Linked DNA regions of Cricetulus griseus. The protein of the gene in region 1 interacts with the protein of each later gene in a biochemical or structural test. Links are inferred from orthologs where the notes say so. Each region holds a gene or a part of one and is shown in the gene's direction. Other genes may lie near its edges.

Region 1 (3,824 bases):
GCTCTCCATCCCCACGCTCTTGTCCCACAATCTGGCCTCCATGTCTGGGAACCATGAACTTATGACTCAGACAAAGGAGTGACATCCCACAGTCATAAACAGTTCTGCCAATTTCTAGCTGTGATCTGCGACAGCTTATTTTGCCTCCAGAAACCTCAGTGACATTAAGGCAGTGGTTCTCAACCTTCCTACCGAGGCAACCATTTAATTTAATACAATTCCTCATGTTGTGGCGCACCCCCCACCCCCAACAACCATAAAATTACTTTATTCCTACTTCAAAACTGTACTGTTATAAATTGTAATGTAAATATCTGAGGTGTAGGATATCTGATGGGAACAGAGTCTGTGTGGACCGTCCAGCGGCACAGGACATCCAGTCATCTCTCACTGTGTCTGATGAAGGACGGTGATGCTCGAATGTCATAGTCGTAGAACTAAAGTCTCTTTTCCCCCTCAGATCTAACTCATCAAGTGAAAAGCAGATCCTAATTTTACCTGTGAAGATCAGTTGACCCGTAGATAGAGTTACCCTCCATAGTACCTCACTGCTATTTAAGTCTGTATTTTTTGTATGACCCACCTGTTCATACCCCCTCCTAACCACTCCACTTTCCAGATGGGGAATTCAGGGCAGAAGAGAACAAAGGCCTTTCCACTTCCAGGAGAACTGCAAGTCAACTGAGGCATTACGACTACACTGTGACTACAGATCAGATCGTCTGTCCGTTGCACTGTGTTCCCCGATTTCATGCGTGCTTCTCTAAGTCTGTCACTTTCATATGTCACCCACCCACAGAAACACGCCTGAGGCATCTCTGAGAATATAAAATGCTATTAAGAAAATTCATCTTGTAAAGGAAAGCAGTTTGCTCCAGGTGGCTGTCACTGATGTCTTATTAGGTGTCAAGTGCTAATCTCATCTCTTCACTCATAAGCGCCTCTTCCTTAGTGTAGTGTCCCTGCTGTGTCATCATTGTTCTTTGACCGAAACAGGCATAAAGGCCCCAGTTTCTCAGACTGTGGGGTTTTGGTTTTTGTTTACAAATGATGTTCAGTCACTTTGATATTTATTTATTTATTTTGTGTGTGTTGGTGTTTTGCCTGCATGGATGTCTGGGTGAGGGTGTCATATCCCCTGGAACTGGAATTACATACAGTTTTGAACTGCCGTGTGGGTACTGAGAATTGAACCCGGGGCCTCTTAACCGCCGAGCCGTCTTTCTAGCCTGTCTCCAACTGTGGCTATTATGCTAGTATTCTAGGCTGCAGTAATCAAGAGGCATCAGATCCGAGAGTCTGAGGCACACAGAGCCTGATGTCTGCCTACGGAAGCTCTCTTGCTCAGTATCAGACCCTCCAAAAGTGCCAGGTGCACAGCCTGCAGACCGCCAGTATTATCAAAGTGGCTCTTTGGCTTCTTTTCCTTTTTAATTTCATCCTCGAAGACATTGACCTCTGGATTCTTTCTTTCTGTTATAGCTTCTGGTCACCCACACTGTTTCTTTTGCCACCTTGAACTTGGCTCTGACCGGGAAGTGCCTTCCAGATTTGCCAATTACGTAAACGTCGAGTTCAGCATGCCCACGACTTCTGCCTCCAAAGCAGCTGTGAGATCCATCTCCGTGGAAGACAAGCCTGGTGTGAGGAAGTGGGTCAATTATTCTGCACACTACAGCTACAAGGTAGCCTCAGGGGGCTCCGGGCTGATGTTTCCGAGTCCATTTGTTCATTCCATCCCTCCCCCTTCTTCCTTTAGCAAACGCTTCTCATATCAAGGAACTTTCCATTAATAGCCATGGATGAATCAGCTCTGACTTTAATGAAATAATCTCTCCTGGATAAGAGAAAGGTTTGGAAAGAAAGAATTAAGGGGCTGGTGACAGAGAAGAATATAATGTCTAACATCATGAGTAATATCAAAAAGAGCCGTGGGGCCAAGTAATAATTGTTACTCATATGTGGCATGCATAATCCGTGTTTTGGAGTGAACTTGGAAATGCAGGGGAGTATTGGGAATGTGATAAGCTGAAGTGAGTATTTCATCTACAGGAATCGTACATCAGAACACAGCAGAGGCGGGCACAGGGCAGTAAGAGTAAGGCTTAAAAGCCAAACCCTTTCACAGTGACAATGGGATGAGATGTCTTCAATCAATGCTGGAGAGCTGGTTTTCTTGGGGAAGGGAAGGGGGGACGTTGCAGACAGGGTCTCCCTCTGTAGCTCAGTCTGGTTCAAGTTCTGCTTTCCTGCCTCTGAGCACTCAGATGATAGGTAAATCGCTGTAAAAACAAGGACTTTTAGCACTTGTAGACTTCGGTAGAAGATCGACTTCCAAAGAGGGGAGAGAGAGAGTCATTAGGATTTTGCAAAGTTGTTTGATAATTTCCTATGTATAATGATTCCTGCAGATTTATGTAACGTATTATTCCTTTAAATATTTTCTTAGTTGTGTCATCTAAAACCTTTTAACTACCAAAAGTTACAAATTCCCCCATCTTGTGGCCAGGGAAAAACCTAGCACTCCCCACCTCACCCCATGTGGAGAAGCCTAATCTTCAATGCACGGCTGAGGACCAACTGGGATGATGAATTCCTTAGTTCAAACAGTCCCTTCCTGACTTATCAGAGGTTTTATTTACGGCGAGCTACTCTTTAAAAAGATTTGATTATTTATTTGTTCATTTATTTGATGTATGGGGGTGTTTTGTCTGCATGCATGTCTGTGTACCACATGTTTGCAGTGCCTGAGGAGGCCCTGGGACTGGAGTCACAGACACTGGTCAGCCACTGTGTAGGTGCTGAGAAGAGAGCCCAGGCCCTCCGGAAGAGTATCCAGTATTAACCACTGAGCTGTCTCTCTACCCAAGGCCTGTGACTTTCAAAGGGCAACTTCTTAATAGTATTTTGCAGAAGACGGGCTAGACTAGTAAATGCTCTGATACTTACTAGCTTAGAGATTTAAAAGAAATGAAGTAGTTGGAGGAGCTTAAGTGGTCAATTACAAAAGGCTTTCTTTATTCATTCCATAAACTCGGCAGTTGCCTACTGGATTTCTACACCATTGGGCAAAATGAACTAGATCTTGCTGCTATCCCATGGAGCCTATGGAATAGTGGAGCCAGGGACACCAGAACTATTCAGAGGAAACCCAGTCTCCCTACTGAGGAGCAAAGATAATATCTGAGCAATTCTGAAAGAATAAGAGTTCCCTGGGACAAGTGCACAAGCAATGATGTGCAGAGCATAGCAACTTCCCTGGGAGTTGTGGTCCTAGGGACTATGGGCCATAACAACCAGTTGACCAATCAACACAGGGCAAGTCCTCCAAGCCTGGAGGCACACCAATCCTGAGCCTGTGCGTATGTCTAGACACTCCCCTTATGCTGTCCTATAAGATCTTTGTCCCGGGGTTTCTCGGGGTCTTTTCCCAGCCATCCGCCATAATGGATGGATGAAAGGCCCGAGCTAATGGGGTTAGTTCGTTAAACAACTGCAATAAAGCCTCTTGCTGTTTGCTTAAAGTTAATTAATTAATTAATTAATTAATTAAGGAGTTCCCTAGGACCACAAAGAAGAGGGAATTCCACACCTTAAAGGGGATCATGGTATACTCAGGACTAGTGGTTCCATTATGGCAGCAGCCCAGAACAGCCACAAAATTCCAGGCAATCCCAGGAACCTTCTGAGGCCCTTTTGGCTCATTTGTTTTTGTGCTTTTCCTCTGCCTCTTATTCCTGATGTGTTCTCCATCTTTTATTTCGGCAGGTGGAAATTGAACAAAAAAAGAGTTTGAAGCCAGACTTTGAGGGAGAGGAGCTGGA
Region 2 (3,924 bases), on another chromosome or scaffold:
AAATAAGTGGGAGTTTTAAGGCTTTAATTGTTTTATATTGTGATATTTATTATTACAAGATTTGGGGGATAAATGCAAAAGGAAAAGTTGTTGTCAATTAATGTTGTATTGGTGTGTTAAGTTAATAAGGGGTCAAGTGTCCTGGCTAGTTTTTATGTCAACTTAACACAAGCCAGAGTCATCTGAAAGGAGGGTACCTCAATTAAGAAAATGCCTCCATAAGATCCAGCTATGGGACAATTTCTATTAGTGATTGATGTGAGAGGGTTTAGCTCTTTGTGACTGGGGGACACCTCTGGGTTGGAAGTCCTGGGTTCTATAGGAAAGCAGGCTGAGCAAACCCTGAGGATAAAAACAGTAAGCAGCACTCCTTTATGGCCTCTTCAATGCTTCCTGCCTCTGGGTCCCTGCCCTGTTTGAGTTCCTGTCCTGACTTCCTTTGATGATGAACAGTGACGTGCAAGTGTAAGCCAAATAAACCCTTTCCTCCCTAGATTGCTTCTAGTCATGGTTTCATCATAGAAATAGTCACCCTGAGTAAGACAGAAAGCAAGGCTTATTTCTTCCCACTTTGTAAGGGTAGAATTGAGAGGGCAGATGTCTTTTTAAATTCACCTAGCTGGAGAGTAAGACCACAGTTACTGTCTTCACAATTCAAAGCCAAAATGTTTTCTTTTACAACCTTAGAATTAATTAGATTTTCTACTTCAAAGCTAAAGAAGCATTTAAAATGATTGAGTGAATTTGATAAAATAATTCAGTAAGATATTGAAGCTAGGTGAATTTAAATAATTAAGCAGACAAACCCTGTTTCTTTATCAGTATTTGATATATGGAGTCAATTATGCCACATTTACAGTGATCTAAATATACACCTAGCAGAACAAGTAAATTATTGATTAGAGTGTCACCTACAGTAAAGGTCAAAAAATGATGGGGGGGGGACTTATCCTTGATATCAGACTCAAGACATTTGCTGTATAATGTTTATGGTGTCCTAAGCTTTCAGTGTTATGCTATTACATATAGTTACTTTAAAAGTCACTAACATTTTGAATGTATGCAATCACTTAGCAACATTGCCAGCACTATTATCCATGATTTGTATTTTTTCTTTTAGTATAGTACAAGATGCTAAGAGTGTAGAACGTGGCTGTTGTCAACAGTTGTTCCCTGCACACTTTGGGAAGATATCATTAAAGTTAGATTTACACCGCAAAATGGGGCTTGTATACATAGCTAATCAGTTTGACAGCTTACATAGACTTTGTTGGGAGAGAATGCTATTCAGTAACTACATTTGATCTTAGCCTTCCCGGAAGGAGCTCTCCACTCACTGTGGTTCTGTAAATATTTCATGAGCCAACATAAAGTAATATGCTAATGACAGGCTTCTACCCAGTGAGCAGGTGTGGTGCAAGTAGTGTGTGTTCGTCTCGGGTACACCTGTTATATGGGGTCAGGCATGCCCTTCTGAGTTTGCTTTCTCTTTCTTCCCCCGTTAGTTTCACCTGAAGCAAAAATGGTGAGTGAGAGCCATCACGAGCGCCTGGCTGCCCCGCCAGTCACCACTGCTGCAACTGTTATCCCACATAATGCCACCGAGCCAGCCAGTCCTGGGGAAGGAAAGGAAGATGCCTTTTCAAAGCTGAAGGAGAAGTTTATGAATGAGCTGCATAAAATTCCATGTGAGTATCCTGTTTTCACTTGAATAAACAGAAAAGATTGAACAATCATTAGAATCAGTGGAACATCAGCAGGACTCAATGCGCTGTTTGTTCTTCATGGTGGTGTCATACGGTAGCACTCCAATGAGAAATGAAGTGATTTTGGAAATGGAATATGTTTTTTTTCTTTAACTGTGTTTTATAAATAATAGCATGGTTTATAACAAAATTTTGTGTGTTGTATTTAAGGTAGGTCCTTCATTTTCTGTCTCTCTGAGATAATAATGTCTGTATGTTGTGTCATATGGAGTTTAGATTTGTATCGATGGAATTGTTATGTAGGAAAGATTACAAGAGCTGATACATTTCCACTATTACAAGTTTGATTTTCTTTGCTTCATTAATATTTTTAAACTTGTTTTTCTTTCATTAATTTGTCAATATTCCAAACACTTTTGCCTACTTTTAATTTTTCATTTGTGAGTGAGGAACACAAAGCCTATAGATAAGCTTTAATTAAAGTAAACATTGCACAAATCTAATCAGTAGCATTTAGTTTTCAAAATTTTATTTGCATATTTACAAATATGTTTACTGTGTATAATACAGTAATTTGAATAAATACTATGAATTGACTAAGTCTTCCTAGCATATGTGCACTGCCTCACATGGAACCATTTTTTCTGAAAACATCCAACATTCATTGGTCTTAATCTAACTCAAGATGACTACAACCCATGTTGTGCACTAAATCTCTTGAACTTACTTTCCCATCCAAATCAAAGTATGCATCCTTTGACCATCTCACTGACTTGTTCATCAACATCCTAGCCCCAGGTCCTTTGACCTCCACATGTGCTCTGTGGCACATGTGAGCATGTACACACACAATATGTTCACAAGCACAGTAGTAATAATAACTAAAATAAAAATGAAGGTTACTATGGAGTATATTCTTAGTATTGTAAATGAGATGGTTTTCTTGGCTTATCTTTGAGATAGTTCATATAAATATTGCTGATCTTTGGATATTAATGTTGTATTCATTTAGCTTTACTGAGTTCATTAATTACTTCTAAAAGTTCTGTAATGGCATTTTTAGGTCTCCCTATATGATCATGTCATGTGCATACAAGGAAAATCTTTCTTCCTGCCCACTTTGAATGGCTTTCATTTGTTTTTCTTGCCCTATTATTCTGGTTAAGACCTGCCATACTAAGCCACATGAGAGTGTAAGGATGTCCTGGCTTTCTACATTTTAAAGGGGATATTTTTAAGTATTAACTCTGAGGCTGTCTTGTGTGCTCATTATCATATTGAAGTATAATTCTTCTATACCTAATTGGTTGACCATTTCTTATCCTGAAAGAATATTTGATTGTTTTTTAATTATTTTTCTTTTGAAATGACCATATAGCTTTATGCTTTATCCTATTAATGTGATCAATCATATTTAATCAATTACAAAGATTGAACTATCCTTGCCTCCCCGAAATTAATCCCAAACCATCATGGTGATTAGTCTTTTTTACATGCTACTTAACTCGGTTGTTCAGGAGAAGCCCTGAACACAGTTCCTATGGCCAGGAGTATTGATTGGCATATAGTGGTTTATTGTGGGTTTTTTGTTTGATTGGTTGCTTTGGACTTGGTTTTGGGTTTTGTTTTGTGGGTTTTGTTGGTGGTGGTGGTGTTTTTTTTTTTTTTTTGATTGTTTGTCTGGGGGGTTAGTTGGTTGGTTTTGGTTTTTCTTTTTATTTCTTTTATTATACGCTCCCTGGCTGTCATACCAGTGATGCTGGTCCCTTAAAATTGGTTCAGTAGTATTCCCTAACAAGACCAGCAGAAGTGAATCTGTGTAGCAGAAGACACAATATTTTATAGGGATCTGAGGATAACTTGGATGCGCCCAATGAAGTAATGTGTCTTTTAAGAAGAGAAGATAAGCTATTGGAATATTCCAGATGGAAGATAACATTTATAAAAATGTATCTGTAATATATTCTCATGCCTCAAAGATTTTAAATGTGTTGCTTTGTCCATACCATTCACAAATTCAAGTTCCTCTGAAGCATGCTCTAGCAGGGTTGTTGGTGATGGCCATTCTCCACAGGAAGCCCCATAAGGGAAGAGCTGGACATGGAGAGATGGTCCAGTAGCTCCAGCCCTTCAGTCAGAAAGCCAAGATCTCAGGTCTTTTTTTTTTTTTTTTTTTTTTTTTGCTCTACTGCTCAGCTAATGGACTGATACAAAATTG

The links.
Region 2: the proteins of Ston2 (region 1) and Syt1 form a complex in vitro, tested with the Homo sapiens proteins (2 studies listed by BioGRID). The link is inferred for Cricetulus griseus from reciprocal best matches to the Homo sapiens genes STON2 and SYT1.

What each region holds. Positions count from the first base shown.
Region 1 is NC_048598.1:113,268,001-113,271,824, forward strand, and holds part of Ston2 (stonin-2), read left to right. Parts: intron 1-1,482; coding exon 1,483-1,685; intron 1,686-3,768; coding exon 3,769-3,824. UniProt on the Homo sapiens protein: Adapter protein involved in endocytic machinery. Involved in the synaptic vesicle recycling. May facilitate clathrin-coated vesicle uncoating.
Region 2 is NW_023276806.1:146,547,687-146,551,610, forward strand, and holds the start of Syt1 (synaptotagmin-1), read left to right. Parts: upstream 1-1,522; coding exon 1,523-1,688; intron 1,689-3,924. UniProt on the Homo sapiens protein: Calcium sensor that participates in triggering neurotransmitter release at the synapse. May have a regulatory role in the membrane interactions during trafficking of synaptic vesicles at the active zone of the synapse.